Linked DNA regions of Macaca fascicularis. The protein of the gene in region 1 interacts with the protein of each later gene in a biochemical or structural test. Links are inferred from orthologs where the notes say so. Each region holds a gene or a part of one and is shown in the gene's direction. Other genes may lie near its edges.

Region 1 (9,966 bases):
ATAAAGTTTTATTAGCATATAGCCACACCCATTCATTTACCTATTGTCTGTGACAATAGGTAAATGTCATTTACTGTAGCAGAAGAGTTGAATAGTCACAAAAGAGACCACGTGGCCTGGCCTACATAGCCAAAAATATTTACTGTCAGGCCCTTTGCAGAAAAAGTATGCTGGTCCCTGACCTAAAAAGGAAGGATTTTAGAGGTGCTGGTGTTGTGTTTGTATCCAAGAGGCAACTGGAAATCCTTTGACCTACCCACATGTGACAACACACACTGTCCCATACTCACTGGGTCAGTTTCTTGCCCAGCATCGTGTATTGCCAGAGTTGAATTTACCAAACCTTTTCCTGTGATTGTCTGAGAGCTGTATACTGGGCAGAAGGAAGCTGCCAACTGCAACAGTGGCTGTCGAGTTTGGACACCATGGCATTTGCATCAGGTTGTAACTCATTTCCTGCCTTTAAATGCCTTGTACCCAATGCAGTGTTGAATGACAGGCAGTACTCCAAACCAATATTGAATTGTCAAAGAAGTAACAACTATGACAAAATGTCCAGGTGTGACTCTGCCAAGATTTTTTAATACTTAAATCTTTAAGATACAAATGTGAGTAATGAAATAGAGAAGGCCTTGTTATTTATAAATAATTTCATGAGTAGAAAACCCAGGCATTGCTATCACAGTTTTTCCTAATTTTATGGCCTGAAAATTGTATTCTCATCCTAAATTCCTAAGAGTAATGCTTTAATTTTTAATAATCTCAGAATAATATAAACCTCTAGAGTATTCTATATGTTAAAACCAAAGATCTTGATTTGTTTGGCTTCTCGTCTGAAGTCTATTGAGCATGAATGCATCTTATGCTGGATAGAACACTGCAGTGGTTGAAAATGGAGTCTTCATTCATTCCTCCTTTTTAGGATGCTATCCAGCCGGTATGTACCTGTGCTGGTTGTGTACACCTGGAATCCATGAAGCTAGCTCACACTATGTGTTCTAGCTAAGCCTTGTCCATGCTGTTGTTGAATAGTTGGCATACCACCACTGGATCCCTATATTAGAACTTGTAGACTGAAAGCTTATGAAGGCAGGCACATGTTCTTATTCACTCTTATTGTGTACTATACTTTACACAGAGTTTCTGCTCTCTATTGTCTTTTGAATATTATGAAAACTTTGCAAGCAAATGTCTTTGAAAGTTGCTTATAACGTTTAAATTACTATTAAAATATAAGATACCACTTTGTGATAGGAGGCATGTCTCAGGGAGGGCTGACTTGTTCCTGTCTTTTAAATCTGATTTTGAAAATATGCTATTGGTTATAATAAAATAAACAATCCTCTTCCTCTTCCTTTTTCTGTTTTGTGAACTTGTTTTCAGGCCAACCATTTAAACTGGATCCCAAATCTGCTCATCGAAAACTGAAGGTGTCCCATGACAACTTGACAGTAGAACGTGATGAATCATCATCCAAGAAGAGTCACACGCCTGAACGCTTCACCAGCCAGGGGAGCTATGGAGTAGCTGGAAATGTGTTTATTGATAGTGGCCGGCATTATTGGGAAGTGGTCATAAGTGGAAGCACATGGTAGGCAACTTATATTCATTGTCCTGCAGTTATAAAAAGGCACATCTCATTCTGTACTTAGAGAGTCAACCCATACTGAAATGCATCTTAAAGAATAAAGTGCAGAAAAGTTGTATTAGTCAGCTATTGCTAGGTAATGCTGCATAACAAACACCCCCAAACTCAGCAAATTCAAACAATGACCATATATTACTAATACCCACATCTGTGGGTTCTCTGTTCAAGATTATAGAGCTCTGGTCATTGGAAGAGCTATACCATGCTAACACTGCTCTTTTATGCCATAAAACATGGGTCAGCAAACCACAGCCCATGAGCCAAACCTGGCCTGCTACCTGGTTTTGTAAATAAAGTTTTATGGGAATACAGCCAGGTCCATTTTTTTACATGTAGTCTATGGCTGCCTTTCAGCCACAACAGCAGAATCGAGTAGTTAAGAGAGAATCATATGGTCTATGAAGCCAAAAATATTTACTTCCTGGTCCTTTCAAGAAAAAGTTTGCAATTCCCTACTTTAAAACATCACTCTTCATCATTATACAAAACTAATTTCTGTTGCCTTGTATGTTTTATGATTCTAGACTGGACCAATTAGTGCAAATAGCTGAGGGCTGAATGGTGGGGGTGAAGCAGTGATCATAGGCTGGGAATAATTTCAAAAGGCCTGTTAGATCCAGCCCAGTAACTTTAGCCCACTGAGTTCTCTAAGAATAAGGGCAAAGGTCAGGACACAATTACACTGGAATTAGTTAACCTCACAAAGTTAACCTTGCCTAATCCACAGCCACAAACTGCACCCCTTACTTTGACCGTCTGTCTCACAAATGCCTGCTTGCTATTGATCAAAAAGGGAGCTATTTTATTTTTATTTAATAAGCCCTCATATGGTACAAGTATGTGCCAGGCACTGGTCTAAGCATTTTACAGATGTCAACTCATTTATTCAGGCTTACAGCCCTACAAAGGTAGGTGCTAATATTATCCACTTTACTGATGAGGTGACTGAGGTATATGCTGAAGATCACAGGGTTACAAAGCTCACAGGTGGCAGAGTCAGCAAGTCTGCAGTCAAGGGTCAGGCTCTTAACCAGCAGTCCACAAACATTATCTGTAAAGGGCCAGAGATTCAATATTTCTGGTTTTGCACACCAAATGATTTTTGTCACTAATACTCGACTCTTCTGTTTTAGTGGGAAAGCAGCCACAGACAACACCTACACAAATGGACATGGCTGCATTCCAATAAAACTTCATTTATAAAAACAGGCAGAGGGCCAGAGTTCGCCCCTGGGTAGTAGTTTGCTGTTCCCTGCTCTTAACCACCATGCTATGCTGCTATTCACAAAAGGGTGGTATATTTTTGAAATGCTATAATTACTCTCTAGGGCTTACAATAGTGTACTTAATGAGTGATAGCTAAATCCTTGCTTTAAAAAATAAAATCAATATTCAAAATTGCATAGCCTGAAGATGGTGAGTATAACTGTTTCAATATAAGCATGATAAAACACTTCTTATTTATATATTTAAAAAACGTTCAATTCAAACCTATGCAAATAATGTGACATGTCTGAATCCCTTGTATTGTAGGTAGAAATTAGCCAAAAATCTAAGAAGTGAATTGTAAGCTTCCCATCTCTCCCAATAATGGTACATACTATATTGGCTGAGCGAGTAGGTTTTCCTTTGTTGTTATCCTCATAATTCTCTTTGCCTAGAAGATTTTTCTGTTCCAACATCCTGCCAGAGGATGGAGGACAAATCCTTCATCCCACTAGGCTCTGGGCTAGATAGGCATTTGCCATTTTTAGCTGTGATGGGGCAAAATTAAAGCACAAAGGAAAACACAATGAATGCAGGTACAAAAAAGCAAATGTTTCTAGCTAATTAATATGCTGTATTAATCTGGGATAGAATCCAGGGTCTAAATGATTATTACTCTATTAATAATTATTTATGATAAATGAAACCTGATCATTATGATCTCATTGCCATTGATGAATAGTTTGCAAAATTCCATCAGACCACTTCAGTTATATAAACACAGATCAGCATTACCTTGAAAACACCCTCCAGATGTCAAAACTAACTCATAAGGGGGAAAAGAAATTCTAAAATTAATTGCTACACAATTAATCTTTACAAACTTAACTGTGTCAATTTCAGAAAAATCTTCATGTAGAAAGTCACTTTACATTTCCTGGGGGGTATTAGCAAGGAAGGGGTGCCCCCTACAATTAAATGCCTGTGACATCTTGATTTGCAACAGCTAATGACATATATTTGCTTGTCAAATATAGTCCTGACTTTAAATTAATGTGTACATTATGATCTGTGCAATGGGGCATGTTAACATTGCCCTGAGAGACATAATTTTTATACTTTGAATTCTCCGTGTCTCACTGCATAACTTAATGGAACATTACATTCTGCCTACACCTTTCAAGCTCAATGGAAATATGTACCTAGTTTCACAGATTAATGATACTATAATGGTATTTTCCTTTGCTTAATGGACTATACACTTAGTTATTTTCTTACTCTCTGATGCTAATGTGCACTTGGTGTTTTTTTTGTTTTGTTTTGTTTTGTTTGTTTGTTTTTTTGAGACGGAGTCTTGCTCTGTCGCCGAGACTGGAGTGCAGTGGCCGGATCTCAGCTCACTGCAAGCTCCGCCTCCCGGGTTTACGCCATTCTCCTGCCTCAGCCTCCCGAGTAGCTGGGACTACAGGGAGTAGTCCGCCACCTCGCCCGGCTATTTTTTTTTTTGTATTTTTTACTAGAGACGGGGTTTCACCGGGTTAGCCAGGATGGTCTCGATCTCCTGACCTCGTGATCCGCCCGTCTCGGCCTCCCAAAGTGCTGGGATTACAGGCTTGAGCCACCGCGCCCGGCCGTGCACTTGGTGTTTTATGAAATGGTGTTAACTAAACGAGTAATAACGGATTCATGCAAAGATTATTAGACCAGAAGGGGTGGGGGCAGCATACAACTCTGGATTTTGCTCCCAATTTTAATATTCTGTTTCTATTTGCTACATGTAGTCAGCCATACCTGCCACAGCTATTTCATAGGGTTCAGTTAAGGTTCAAATGGGAAATAAACATCAAAGTAATAAAAAATAAAAATGCTGTGTCACAACAAGAAGGAAACAATACAGATGTGGTGATTTTGTGATGCAAATGCAGGTTCCAAATTATCTGAAAGATGAAAATGGTATTTACTGGGGTATACAGAACATTTTAGGGAGTGGGAGATACTGACAATTGCAAAATGAAAACCTTTCCAAAGTGTATGTATTAGTCCATTTTCATGCTGCTGATAAAGATATAACCAAGATAGGGCAATTTACAAAAGAGATTTATAATGGACTTAACAGTTCCATGTGGCTGGGAAAGCCCACAATCATGGCAGAAGGCAAGGAGGAACAAGCCACGTCTTACATGGATGGCAGCAGGCAAAAAGAGAACTTGTGCAGGGAAACTCCCCCTTTTTAAAACCATCAGATCTCGTGAGACTTATTCACTATCACAAGAACACTGAAAGGACCTGCCCCCATGATTCAGTTTCCTCCCACCGGGTCCCTCCCACAACATGTGGGAATTCAAGATGAGATTTGAGTGGGGACATAGCCAAACCATATCAATGTATCAAATAAACAGATGACATTTGAGACCCTTGATGCACTCCCCAGAGGAAGGGACCCAGAAGCTTACAGGACCCTGGAAGGGCTGGGGCACAAAGTCCGGGAGTCTGCTGCTCTAGTTCGTGGAGTCATGATGAGCTGTAGCTGCTGCAAAATTGCCCACAGCACAAGGCAGGTGTACTCAGGTGCTCATCTAGAAGCTTCCACCAACTGCACATCTACTGTCTGCCATCAGGAAAGAGTGTTTCCCCTCCTCTAAGCACTTCTGGATCTTGTGCAAAGGCATCACAATAGCAGAGCCTGACTCAGACTCCTACAGGAAAGGGGATTCTGGGAAATGCAACTTGGATTCTCCTCATAAGCAGGAGAGGATGGATGGGAGGGAAGAGAAGATGCAACACTGATGACAGACAGGCCTGCACACTGGGCTTGGCAGATTATCAATTCCATCCTCCTTTTGGATTTAATGATGGCATGGTGTATTAATTTTCTTTTTAAACACACCACTCCTAAAGTGATTGTATTTTAAGTCCAGTGTGATTTTTTTAAAGAATGTCATTTTATTAAAGATCCATGAAATTTTTCTCTCTGCATTGGGTAAGATACCATGTGTTAATATCCAGTTAGGCTGGTTTCTGCTATAACATATTAAAAGTTCACCTGTGAGTCATTTACTGTTTATTAAGAGTGATGGGTTTTGTTTATCTTAATAACTGAAATACTATGAATATTACAGAGGCATGCTTCAGAGGGGTAAAAAGAGACTAAGAAGCTTAGAACAAACATTGTAGAAAGCATTCTTTGGATTTTTTTTTTTTTTTTTTTTTTTTTTTTTTTTGAGCAGCAAGAGAACATTTAGAATAACCAGAAGATCGTCTGCTCAAACACATTCAGAATTTTTTTTCGGTGTAGTAGGAAATATAATCAGAAAGGCTCTTGGCAGTGATGGACTGCACAATTTCTGGTTATGGTTGGCATTGTAGAATGTAGTTCGTGTTTGTGGGTTTTGAGTCATCCTAAGTTCAAATTCTGATTCTGGTACTTATTGTTAATATGTGCCATCAGGCAATAATAATAAAATAGCAGTTACTAAATATTGCATGCCAGGTCCTGTGCCTAGGACTTAACACGTATTCTCTCCTTTACTCCTTAAAATCACACACTGCAAGATGGAGACTATCGTTGTCCCTGTGGTATACATGAGAAAACTGGGGCTGAGTAATGACAAAGGACTTATCCCCACAAATGGAAATCATCTTCTGTGCTTGCCCTTGGCAAAATGCTTTCAGAATCAGAAAATGACAGACATAGTGTTAAATTAAAAATTATAAGAAGGTCAAAAGGAGAAGTCTAGGGTTGTGCTGTCCAATATGGTAGCTATGAGCCACATGCAGCTATTTAAATCATTTAACTTAATGAAAATTAAATAAATTTAAAGTTCAGTTCCTCAGTCTCACCAGCTGCAGCTAAAGTGCCCGGTAGCCATATGTAGCTTGTGGTTACCACATCGAGGAGAGCAGGACATTTCAATCATTGAAGAAAGTTCTTTTGGTCAGCACTGGTCTAGCGAATTCATTGTGTAGATTTTTATAAAAGTGAAAAAAAGCAGCAAAATACAAAGTTCAAATTCTCTGTAGTGTTTGAGCTGAAAACAGAAATGTGGGTAAATATGATGCTTCTTTCCCTGTTTGTGAGGGAAGGAGATGAGGAACACAGATGTTGGGGTTCTTGCCAAGCTTTCACTTAAAGAAAATGAACAGGGACAACAAATGATCATGTTTTTATAACCCCTGAGGACCACAGAACGGATTTAATGTGCATATGCAACATGGCTCATTGTTTTTGTTGTTGCTGTTTTGTTTCTGCAGGTATGCTATTGGTCTTGCTTATAAATCAGCCCCGAAGCATGAATGGATTGGGAAGAACTCTGCTTCCTGGGCGCTCTGCCGCTGCAACAATAACTGGGTGGTGAGACACAATAGCAAGGAAATCCCCATTGAGCCTGCTCCCCACCTCCGGCGCGTGGGCATCCTGCTGGACTATGATAACGGCTCTATCGCCTTTTATGATGCTTTGAACTCCATCCACCTCTACACCTTCGACGTCGCATTTGCGCAGCCTGTGTGCCCCACCTTCACCGTGTGGAACAAGTGTCTGACGATTATCACTGGGCTTCCTATCCCAGACCATTTGGACTGCACAGAGCAGCTGCCGTGAGCGTCTGGCCACATGGAGGAGCTTTCTGGGGAACAAAAAGGTTCAGGCCACTATTTAGGAGACTGAGAAAGCACAGGCTTCATGAGTGTAATGAAATCTCACCAAAAGTGTCCAGAAATCGGCTCAGATAGGGCTCAAAACAGGAGATTCCTCTCCTTTTACTGTGTCTTGTATTAAGTACGGGCTTTAATAATTTCTTTAATTTTTTTTTGTATTTAGAGGAAAATCTATAGATTATTTATAAGAGAAACATAATCGGGATTACAACTTTTAGGAATTACTTGGTTTTGCACATTAAGAGGCCCATAAGTTTATCAGCTATTTACAACCTGTATTTCATCACAATCTATGGGCTTGCAAAAAAACAAACAAACAAAAAAAAACTTTTGTAATTTTGTATGTTTATTCATCTTCTCACCTAACATCTCATAATGATCCCATGATAAGTCTTCTCACCTCGATGGTGCATAACAGGAAGTGTCTGAACCTAGTAGGGGAGTAAACAGGCTTTCTTACTCTGGTTTAATATGAAGTGTTTTAATTGTGGTGTCAAAAACTTGTATCAGATCAACTAAAATGGAGAGCAAGACAGAGAATGAAAAGAATTGATTTTGGACCTTGGACCTTGCCGCGGCTAAATCTTTACCCTCTGATAGCTGATGAGATAATGTTGGAAAGAAAGGTTCTGAATCCTTTGGCCGCATTTTGCCCTGCTTCTCTCAGGGTTAAGGGTTCTGGAAGAACATTAAGAATGAGATTGCAATTGAAAATAGTCATTTTGAATCCTATTGATTATTCAAAACTTCAGGCTGATTTGTCTTTTTCGGAGGTAGGATTCTGTTTTATGGTATAAAATCTACTTTATCCTTCCTTTTAATAGTTTCTTTAGACCTGTGAAATCTCTTCACTACGTTTAATAGTTATCCTATTTCCCCCTCCCCCATATCAATTTTCCTTTTGTCTCTGGGGCTGAGTAAATAAACATGTTCTGTCACAAATAGCAGCACCACTTTGGATTGATTTTGCTCTCCAGGACATCAGCACATGGCCCTGATCACCACTACCACATCCAAACATAAGTCACTGAAAAACACTTAATATTTATGAGTTGGTAATGACAAGGGACATTGCATAAAGTACTATTTACTAGATACATGCCTCAAAAGTTATTATAAACAGACCTTTATTAAACACATCTTGAAATATGTAGAAGTCCCTCTATAGTCTAGTATAGTTTACAATAGAGTTGTAAGACCAAAAAAAAAAAAAAAATTCAAACTCGTTATTCAGGAACCTGCTTATAAAATGTCAGTTGGCATTCTTTGCATGCCAATCTGATGCGTTGGAATGGTCCATGAATTAAGGCTTTCTTGAGCAGTTCTTGGACCAGAACTCTGGCATTGGTTCTACTTTGATGAAGGGCGTGACCTCTATAAATGGTTTCAATTGCTAAAATATTTACCTGGGATACTGGGTCAGCCATTTTTACTGAACAGACTAGTGGATTTAGACATTGTTTTTAGTTATTTTGTTTTTAACCAAATCAACCAACTGCCTCCCTGAAATAAATCAATGAGGTCCTTCCATCCTCTTCCCTAGCAGACACTCTCCTTTTTCTTAACAGATAGATTCTATATATTTACTATATTATTTATACCCAGATGAATATTTTGATAGATACCTAAGACAATTTCACATCTAAAAGATGGACACCTCAATGGAAAAAAAAATCTTTCTCTGGAAACCTTATGGGTTTTTCTTTTTATTACAATATAAAAGCAATGTGTGTTTGCCTTCTCTGAATAAACTGAAAGGGTTGTCTCAGTAATTTTTACATACATTTTGGGTAACTGGATAATGGATATTTTAATGCACTTTGTACACTAACAGGTTCTAAATAAAAGGGTCTAAAACTCAGCTTCTGAGTTTTTAAAATCATGGTCTCCAGGTACCAATAAATGCTACAGTTTGCCTTATGATGTTAACATAAAATAGTTAGTAGAAGGACAATATTTCCATGAAAATAATGTTTTTCAATATTAAGAAGTTACTACTCAAATTTTCACAGTAAGCCATTTAGGGTATGTTTTGGCTATTTTTATAAGGACATGAGAGATTATGTCATAATTTTGTTGTGGAAGTCTCACTCTTGGCTAACTTAAAAGCATTGTGGATAGTAGCAGTTACTAGTTCCAGGTTGTCGTATTTACAGGAAAATATGTATATGGTGAAAGGCCACCATGTTTAATTACTATAATGATGTAGAAAAGATTCCCATGTGATTTTTTTTTGAAAGTCTAAAATATGTATGCTGTAAAAATTTGCTGCAGTGTAATTTTGCATTCTCTTTAAACTAATTGAGGTCACAGTATTTTATTATTTGAGGTCCTCACCACAGGAAACACTGCGATACAGGGGCAAAAGAGATGGCAGTGCCAATTAAATTAATACAACAAAATCAATGCAGCACCAACCAAGACTGCTAGGTCTGGTGTCATGGGTATGCCCAGAG
Region 2 (10,066 bases), about 67 Mb from region 1:
TGAGCCAAGTTATGAGTAATGAATAGAAATTTGCCAGGCACAGACAAGGAAGATGACATTCCAGGCAGAAGGTACCACCTATGTGAATGCATGAAGGCCTAAGAGAACATGATAGGTTTGGAGAACTAGGAGAGTTGGCTAAAGGTTCAGCTTAGGATCCATGAAGGAACAAAATGAAAAGGATGTCAGCAGGCAGATCGGAAAGGATCTTGAAGTCATATTATTGAGTTTGACCTTAACAGAATGCCCCTCCGGGCCAAAGTTATTCTCTCCATTCTTCTAACACCTTGAACACACCTTTATCAAAATATTTATCAAATTACTATTTGATTATTTGTTTACCTGTCTTTTCCATGGAACTATGGACCCCTTAAGAGCTTAAACCTTGGGTGGTGTTCGAATTCTCAATGCCTAGCATTCAGGTAGCACACAGCACATATGGAAAGAGTAAAGGAAGGAATTTCTCCAAAGTCACACAGCTATTCAGTAACAGAGTTGGGCTAAAGGGATCCTCCCACCTCAGCCTCCCAAAGTGCTGGGATTGCAGGCGTGAGCCACCGCACCTGGCCAGATTAGTGCTTTTCATATTGTGTTACTTAGAGCCCTGGAGTCCCTCACCTGGAGTGCCACTCACTGAGCAGGTTGAGGAAGATGGGCCAGTGGCTGAGTTGGCAGACTTCTTTGTATCCTCTTCAAATACATCAGTCCTTTTAGAAATTGTAGGTTCTTTAAAACTTGTTTTGGAAAAAGAATTATGCTACTACAAAAAGTTTAAGTACCATTATACTTTCATGATTGCTAAGTGCCCTAAACTAGGATGTTAAAAAATCTCCCATGCACAATAGGAGTTTAATGTGATAAAGTGTTTACACACAAAACACAGCAAATGACTCGTTTTTATTATTCCTTTTTTTCTTTTTCTTTTTTTTTTTTTTTTTTTTTTTTTTTTGAGACAGAGTCTCACTCTGTCGCCCAGGCTGGAGTGCAGTGGTGCGATCTCGGCTCACTGCAGCCTCCGCCTCCCGGGTTCAAGCGATTCTCCTGTCTCAGCCTCCTGAGTAGCTGGGATTACAGGCCAGTGCCACCAAGCCCAGCTAACTTTTGTATGCTTAGTAGAGACGGTGTTTCACCATGTTGGCTAGGCTGGTCTCGAACTCCTGACCTCAGGTGAGTTGCCCACCTCGGCCTCCCAAAGTGCTGGGATTACAGGCAGGAGCCACCACGCCCGGCCATTATTCCTTTTCTTCTAACCACTTTTTAATCTTGGTATTCTTTCAAAATAAGATGAAATGCTATGCTTAAAATGACAATTCTAATATTATAACAGGTACTCTAAAAGTAATTGGCATCCCCCATAAAGACTGTCATTTTGGTTGGGCACAGTGAATCACGTCTGTAATCCCAACACTTTGGGACAGTGAAGCGGGTGGATCGCTTGACCTCAGGAGTTTGAGACCAGCCTGGGCAACATGGTGAAACCCCGCCTCTACAAAAAAATACAAAAATTAGCCAGGAGTGGGGGCTTGCACCTGTAATCCCAGCTACTTGGGGGGCTTGAGGGGAGAGGATCACTTGAGTCCAGGAGGCAGAGTTTGCAATGACCCGAGATCGTGCCATTGCACTCCAGCACTCCAGCCTGGGTGGCAGAGAGAGACCCTGTCTCAAAAAAAAAAAAAAAAAAAAAAAAGACTAATTTTGAAAGCCATAGAAAAAATGGCTTACAAAGCTTAAGACCAAATTAAGATTCTGCATATTTTTTTCCTCTTAAGTAACAGTAAAGGCATGTTTTAATCCAAGCAAATGCAGAGAAGCAAATTATCTTTACTCTCACAATTACTACATTTCTAAGTTTCCTCCACAAATACTATCTTTTTCTTCTTTATATTCCCTGCTGAGCCTGACCCTGAAAGGTCAGTTTACTAGAGTTACTAGAGGTGCCAGATAAACCAAATAGGTAATTCGCCAAAGTCTCACTTCCTTCTTAGTTTATAAAGCAGGGGTTGCAAGGGAAGGTTTATTAGAATCACCTGGGAAGCTTTTTCAACCTGCATGTGTGCCACAGTCTCCTCTCCCTCTTAGGAAGCACTGTTCTAGTTTGGGGCTTCAATCTGTCCCACATTAAAGGTCTTCATCTTTCTAAATCCTACCCAACTGAAGGCTAATGGAGTAGAAACAACTGAACTCAGAAGTCACTGACTTTGTCACAAACTGGCTGGGCAAGTCCCTTAACCTTTCTGGTCTCAAGTTTTTCCTCCGATTTTGGGGGTTCCCTTTAAACTTTGACATTCTTCTATGTGACTGCATGTCATGTCTAAGAAGCCTTCTGAACTACTCCTAGCATAGAACCAAGACTTGCCCTTTCTTGGTTTTCCAACAGCCTGTGCAGTACAACGTATCACCTATTTTATACTGTCCTATATTGCCCTCTAGTTGTTTTTTAATGAAGCTTTTCTCTTCTCAACTATATGTAGTTTAAAATACTAGTTTAAAAGTTTATATTCAGGGTTAGACAGTGTGCCTGCTACTTAAATCTCCTAGGACAATTCAGGCTGCGTCCTAAGGTAATCAGTATGTATTTATACTGCTTTGTTCAAAACAATGATGTCCCTTCTTTGAAGTCCTGAAATTATATTTTTCATCAGTTCTGTCCAGTAGAAATATAACGGGAGCTACAAATATAGTTTTAAATTATCTGGCAGGCACATTTACAAAGTGAAAATAAACAAGTACAATTAATTCTAATAATATATTTAATCCAATATATCCAAAAGACTATCATTTCAACATGTAGTCCCTGTAAAAAGTATTGACATTTTTCATTCTTTTTTTTTTTTAATGTCTTTGAAATCTGGGGTTTTTTTACACTTGCAACACACCTCGATTCCAAATAGCCACTTTCAGGTGCTTAGTAGCCACAAGCAGCTAGTAACTACCTACTGAACAATGCAGTTCTGCATAACTGGGCTGCTTTCCAAACTGATCACTTTTTTTTTTTAATTCAGATAATGACTGATACTGAGTACTCAGGCTAGCCAGAGTGGTGCAAAGATGAGTCAAATTCATTGCGATAAGAGACATTTGTAAGTCACTAGCAATTATACAGTGTGGTAGGTGCCATGATAGAGATGCAGAGAAGAAACCCAGACTTGGTGGCTGAAGGGCACAGGATGGAAGGCGGTGGGGAGACAAGGAAGGTTGCACAGAAATAACATTTGACATAGGAACTAAGTGCACGAAGGGAAGCCGGCTGTGCGGTGACCGAAGTTGCAGGTTACCAATCTTGCTGAGGGGGGCTCCACTGGACCCCGGATCGTAGGCATGTGTGGTGTGAAGGGGGAAGAGGACGGGAGAGGATTGGCCGGGAGGAACCCGGAGCTCCAGCTGGTGGGTGGACGGAAGCCGCAGGGGGGCGCTACTTGCACTTCGCGCTCAAGCGACGGGATCTTCAAACCGTGGGAGTGGTGCGGCGGCTGGAGTCCCTGGACTCCTCAATCGAGGGAGCTACTCGCGAGGTAAGAGGCGCGCCTGACCGGCTCCTAAAGCGCACTCGCTCGTCCGCACTCCTGGCCCTCCGAATTCAGCCTCGCCACACCCGGGCTTCAGAGCCCACAGAACTTCTCAGCCCCGTGTCAGCGACGAGGAGCTCATGGTAAAACAGCGCCTAGGGTTTCGTTTGTTTGTTTGTTTTTAACAGATGCCTACGACTTGTAATAGGCTGCCTCATAAAATGAGTCTATGGAAACGGTTGCCAGGGCCGGCGAACGGCGGCTCCCGGAAGTCCTTTGATGCTTTGGTAACAGTGAGGCTACTGGACCAATGAGCTGCCTCTTCCGGTTTTGTCCGCGGTCGCCCAGTTCTTCTTTATCAAGGTTGCCTTTGACCCCGGGAAAGAGATCTTCCGGGTTCCTCTCTCCCCAAGATGGCTGCTGAGGACGAGTTACTGCTGCCGCGGCTCCCCGAGCTGTTCGAAACGGGCAAACAGTTACTGGACGAAGTAGAAGTAGCGACTGAACCTGCCGGTTCCCGGATAGTCCAGGAGAAGGTGTTCAAGGGCCTGGACCTCCTTGAGAAGGCTGCCGAAATGTTATCGCAGCTCGACTTGTTCAGGTAGGGGGGAAGATAGTAATAATGGCTGAGAACGAAGGTAATAATGGTTACCAAGGGTGGAGCCATTGCGTCTGAGTGGAGGGGACCTTTAGTAGTGAGAACCTTTCGTTCCTACTTACCACTGCGATCTTGTGTACATTGTTTACATTCCCCACCTCTCTTCCCAGATGGTTGATATCCCACGACTCTGCTCCCTAGTGTCTGCTGATTGCAAGGCACTGGATGTGAGCGCTCAGCCACTTTCATTGAGTGAAACTGGGCGCTGTTACCCGTGCCTCCTCCCTCTGCTCCACTCCCAGCCCAGCCTCCCACTCCGTCCCCCAGGAGCCAAGGCCACAATTTGAATGCCTAGCCAGGCTTCACTGCCTCCTTTTTGCTCTTCCAGCCGAAATGAAGATTTGGAAGAGATTGCTTCCACCGACCTGAAGTACCTGTTGGTGCCAGCGTTTCAAGGAGCCCTCACCATGAAACAAGTCAACCCCAGCAAGCGTCTAGATCATTTGCAGCGGGCTCGAGAACACTTTATGAACTACTTAACTCAGTGCCATTGCTATCATGTGGCAGAGTTTGAGCTGCCCAAAACCAAGAACAACTCAGCTGAAAATCACACTGCCAATTCTTCCATGGCTTATCCTAGCCTCGTTGCTATGGCATCTCAAAGACAGGCTAAAATAGAGAGGTGGGTCAATAGCTATAATATGAGGGCTGCCCAATGGCAGTGCTTTTCGGGGGCATGCTTTCTTGGCGGTTGGTGGGGGGCCAGAATGGTGTGTGTCACTTTCTTGGTTCTTATTGAGCATAGGCCCTGGGGAGAGCAAACTTTCCTGAGTTTTTCAAGAAGCCTCTGCTTTTGTTGAGATGATTATACTTACCTGTCAGACCCCGACGACCTTATGGTTGCCAACAGCAGCAATGTAGTTTAGCAGAGTGTCTCCCAACCTTTTCCACATCACATCATAGCAATGTTCACATGGTACAGTGGGGTAGATGTCTCTGGAAGACAAAGCTAGGCCATTTTATGGTCCACTGATTGAGGAGCTCTGTTCAGACTGCTGGAGTAGATGTGTAACATCCTGAACTCATCTTAGTCCTGGCACAGCTTCATCGTGTGATCTTGGAAAAGTTGCTTACTTTCTTAGGTTTTTTTGTTGTTTGTTTTTTAAACAACATTTAATGGGTGGTCATGCTGTCTAGGAACTATGCTAGGCACTGGGGATACAAAGTATATAGGTGTTTGTGTGAGTATGAGTTGTCCGTGCCTTGGAGGAGCATACAATCTGGTGAGGAAAACGGGCATAGAAACAGAATATCAATATAAACTGATGTTATGGAGGGTTGTACAAGGTACTATGAGAGCAGACGGGAGGGGCACCTAACCAAAGGGAGCAGGAGAGAGGAGAAAGCTCCCTGGAAGAGGTGACTTCTGTGCTGAGTTCTTTAAGGGTAAATAGGAATATCCAGAGGAAGAGGAGAGGAGGGCATTAGCCAGCAGAGTATGTAATAGCCTTAGTAAAGCCATAGAGGCATTAAAGAAACAGTGATGGGTGGAGATGTGTAGGACGAAAACAACAGCTATAGGCAATTAGGTGATGGTAGAACACAAAGAGGGTGGTGGTAAGGGGGAAGGAATGATACTGAAGAATGTTGTAGGGTCCACATCAAGGAGAGCCTGGGATGTGAGGAACGTGAAGAGAAACTTGTTGCTGAGAACTTGATAAGGTGTTTGAATCCCAGCTCGACCGCTGTGATTAGTCACTGATTTTTGGCAAATTATTTAATCTTTCAGTACCTGAATTTCCCCAGCTGCAAAATTCAGATAATAGGTCCTTCCTTATAAAGTGGTTTTTGAGGATTAAAAGACAAATATATATATAAAGCAGTTAGCACAATGTTTGACACAGTAAACACTCAAAGTCAACTATTATTATTTGCGGCTAAGAGTATGGGTCGTAGAGTGAGAGACCTGGGTTTGAGACCCAGCTTTACTTATAATTTGTTGGACTTTGGAGAAGTTATTTAACCTAACTGAGCCTCAGCTTTCCTCATATGTGAAATCTAAATAATAATGGTACAGGTGGTCCCCGATTTGCGATGGCTTGTCTTAGAATTTTTTGACTTTATATTGGTGCAGAAGCAATACACATTCAGGGGAACATCAATAAATTACATGAGTTATTCAACACTTTATTATAAAATAGGCCTTGTGTTAGATGATTTTGCCCAACTGTACGCTAATATAAGTGTTCTGAACATGTTGAAGGTAAACTAGGCTAAGCTATGATGTTCAATAAGCTGTATTAAATGTGTTTTCAACTTCCCATATTTTCAATTTATGATGGATTTATTGGGATGTAGCCCCGTTCTAAGTTGAGACACACGTGTACCTACCTCAGGGTTAATAAGCACAAATGGGAAAAAGCACATAAAACAGCCCAATATCTGGCACATGGTGAGTATTCTGTAAATATCAGCTGCTATCAGATAGGACATGCCAAAGAGCTTACTCTGGTTGGTGACTGAGATCCACTGAAGAGTTCTGTTTCTTTTTTCTTTTTTTTTTGATACAGAGTTTTGCTCTTGTCACCCAAGCTGGAGTGCAGTGGTGTGATCTCGGCTCACTGCAATCTCCACCTCCTGGGTTCAAGCAATTCTCCTGCCTCAGCCTCTCGAGTAGCTGGGATTACAGGCACCTGCCACCACGCCCGGCTAATTTTTGTATTTTTAGTAGAGCTGGGGTTTTGCCATGTTGGCCAGGCTGGTCCGCCTCGGCCTCCCAAAGTGCTGGGATTACAGGTGTGAGCTGCTGCGCCCTGGCTGTTTCTTTTCAAATAGTAGCATGATCACATTTGTATTTTAACTAGTACACTCTAACAGCAGTTAGGAAACAATGAGGGAAAAGATTAGACCCAGTTAAGTCACAAAGGTGACTGGGGTTTACTATTGCAATGGTAGAGGGATGGGGGAACATATTTAGGAGGGTTGAATCTACAGGAAACCTGGTGATCAATTGGTTGTGGAAGGTGGGATAGAAGGAAGCAGCAAGGAAAGATGTCCATGTTTCTGATTTAGGTGGATGGCTGTGAAATTTATTGCGATGGGGAAAGAGGAAAAAGAGAAGATGGGGGAAGGTGAGAGTATGAATTTAGTATTGAAACATGTTGAGTTTAAGGTGCCTAGGAGATAAGTAGAGGTATCTGTTAGTCTGAAGCTCAGAGGAGAGGCTTGGTCTAGAGAGCTGAAGATGACTCATTTATTCAAAAATATTTATTAATTCCTTCCTGTGTGCCAGGAGCTGTTCTAGGTGTTAGAGAACCAGATAAAGTCAGTGCTGCTATGGAGCTTTTATTCTGGTGCGAGAGAAAAACAATAAGCTAGTAAATAATGAAATTTCAGCTGGTAAGGACTATGAGGAATAATAAAGTTAGGGGATAGTGAGTGACTGAGGATATGGGCTAGACTGATATGAAATGGAATTTAACATCCTGTCCTTTGTAAGTAGTTGGGGGCAGCCTGTCAGCAGGTAGTAGGTAGTTTAAACAGTGAGTTTGGTATCCAAATAATTATACAAAAAAAAAAAAAAAACCTGCAAGAGAAAGACGAGGGAGTGGTCACATCTGGTTGGAGGGATGAAGAAAAGGTTTCAGAACATAATGGCATTTGACACCAGGCACGGTGGCTCACGCCTGTAATCCCAGCACTTTGGGAGGCTGAGGCAGGTGGATCATTTGAGGTCAGGAGTTCAAGACCAGTCTGGTCAACATGGTGAAACCCCCGTCTCTGGAAAAAAAAAAAAAAAAAAAAAATTAGCTGGGAGTGGTGATGCACTCCTGTAATCCCAGGTACTCGGGAGGCTGAGGCAGCAGAATCGCCTGAGCCCGGGAGGCAGAGGCTGCAGTGAGCCGAGATCGCGCTATTGCACTCCAGCCTGGGTAATGGAATGAGACTCTGTCTCAAAAAAAAAAAAAAAAAGAACATAAATGGTATTTGAGACGAGTCTTACAGGATGATTAAAAATAGAAATTAGGCTGAGCATGGTGGCTCATGCCTGTAATCCCAACACTTTGGGAGGCCGAGGCGGGAGGATTACTTGAGCCCAGGAGTTCAAGAACAGCCTAGGCAACAAAGTAAGACTCTGTCTCTACCAAAAAATAAAAATAAAAAATTAGGTGTGGTGGCACAGTCCTGTAGTCCCAGCTACTCCAGAAGCTGAACTGAGCTGGGAGGATCACTTGAGCCCCTGGAGGTTGAGGCTGCAGTGAGCTGTGATCACACCATTGTATTCCAGCCTAGATGACAGAGTGAGACCCTGTCTCAAAAAAAAAAAAAAAAAAAGATTTTCTTGAGTGTAAAAGTAATAGTGCTCATTGTAGAAAGTTTGCAAAACAGAAGAATATTTTTTAAATTAAAAATAAGCCTCAGTCCTAGCACTCATGATGATCATTGTTAACTTTCTGGTGTGTTTCCTTTCAGATATATAGTTATTTAAGTTAATAAATTTGGAATGCTGTAACTATCCTGTTTTTTTAACCTAACGTACCGTGAGCATTTCCTCGTGTTTTTTGAAACCATGATATTGAATGTTCCATGCTCTAGTTGTACCATAATTATTTAATCTGTTATTATCAAATATTTAGACACTGGTTTTTTGCTATTCTAAGTAATGCTATAAACAAACATCTTTAAATGCATCTGTCACTGTTTCCTTAGGGTGGATTTCTGGAGCCAGTGACTGGGTCAAAGTGTTTGAATATTTTGAGGCTCTTGACATATGGTAAAAGTGTTGCTTTCCACAATAACAGAGTTTCAGAATATGTTCCACTGCATTTGTCTTGGATGTTAATACTTAGAAAATCCAATTGCGTGGCCGGACGCGGTGGCTCACACCTGTAATCCCAGCACTTTGGGAGGCCAAGGCGGGTGGATCACCTAAGGTCAGAAGTTCGAGACCAGCCTGGCCAACATGGCAAAACCCCATCTCTACTAAAAATACAAAAATTAGCCAGGCGTGGTGGCGGATGGCTGTAATCTCAGCTTCTTGGGAGGCTGAGGAAGGAGAATTGCTGGAACCCAGGAGGTGGAGGTTAAGCTGAGATCGCACCATTGCACTCCAGCCTGGTCTGACAACAGCGAGACCCCATCTCAAAAAAAGAAAAGAAAAAGAAAAAAGAAAAAAAAAGATAATCCAATTGGGCAAACAGAAAGTATCTATTGTTTTGATTTGCATTTCTTTGGCCTGCCTGCTTTGAATGTTTTTCTTAAATGCCTGACAGATATCAACACTTAACTTTATACTAATGTCTCCCACATTCATATCACTAGCCCAGACTCTTCCTGACCTTCAGACCCATACTTGCAACACCCTTCCTTCCTGGGTGTTTCACAGACATGTCATACTTTGAACCCTTGGCTTTTACCCCCAAGTGTGCCTCCACAGCCATCTCAGTAAGTGTACCACCATTGACTTAGGTTTTTAAACCAGAAACCTAGGATTTAGCTTCAATTCCTCCCTTTTTCTGAATTTTCACATCCAGTCTATCAGCAAAGGCCTGTCCATTCTAGCTACAAGAGGTATCTTCTATCCTTCTATTTCTCTCCATCTCCACTATCATACCTCAGTCTAGGCTACCAACATTGCTCACCCTAGATAGATAAATCAGCTCCAAGGCCTTGTGTGATCTGCTGCCTGCCTCTTTTCAGTCTCACCATGTGTCATTCTCCCCTCGTTCACTAGACTCCAGCCACAATGACTGTCTTTCAGTTCTTTGAATAGACCCAGCTCTGTCCCTCTCTAGAATCTCTGTGTGTGCAGTTCTCTTTGCATGGAATGCTCTTCATATGGCTAATTCTTCATCCTCTAGGTCTCAGCTTGAATGTCACTCCTCAGGCCTTTCCAGATCAGTCTCTTTAAGTAGTTAACAAGTATTATTCTCTCTTTGCTTCATGTTTCTTTCCTTCTTGG

Evidence for each region.
Region 2: of the proteins of MID1 (region 1) and IGBP1, one has a biochemical effect on the other in vitro, tested with the Homo sapiens proteins (5 studies listed by BioGRID, with this or other methods). The link is inferred for Macaca fascicularis from reciprocal best matches to the Homo sapiens genes MID1 and IGBP1.

Annotation. Positions count from the first base shown.
Region 1 is NC_088395.1:10,133,447-10,143,412, reverse strand, and holds the end of MID1 (E3 ubiquitin-protein ligase Midline-1), read left to right. Parts: intron 1-1,383; coding exon 1,384-1,591; intron 1,592-7,105; coding exon 7,106-7,454; 3' UTR 7,455-8,452; downstream 8,453-9,966. UniProt on the Homo sapiens protein: Has E3 ubiquitin ligase activity towards IGBP1, promoting its monoubiquitination, which results in deprotection of the catalytic subunit of protein phosphatase PP2A, and its subsequent degradation by polyubiquitination.
Region 2 is NC_088395.1:76,887,746-76,897,811, forward strand, and holds the start of IGBP1 (immunoglobulin-binding protein 1), read left to right. Parts: upstream 1-3,906; 5' UTR 3,907-3,919; coding exon 3,920-4,107; intron 4,108-4,492; coding exon 4,493-4,786; intron 4,787-10,066. UniProt on the Homo sapiens protein: Associated to surface IgM-receptor; may be involved in signal transduction.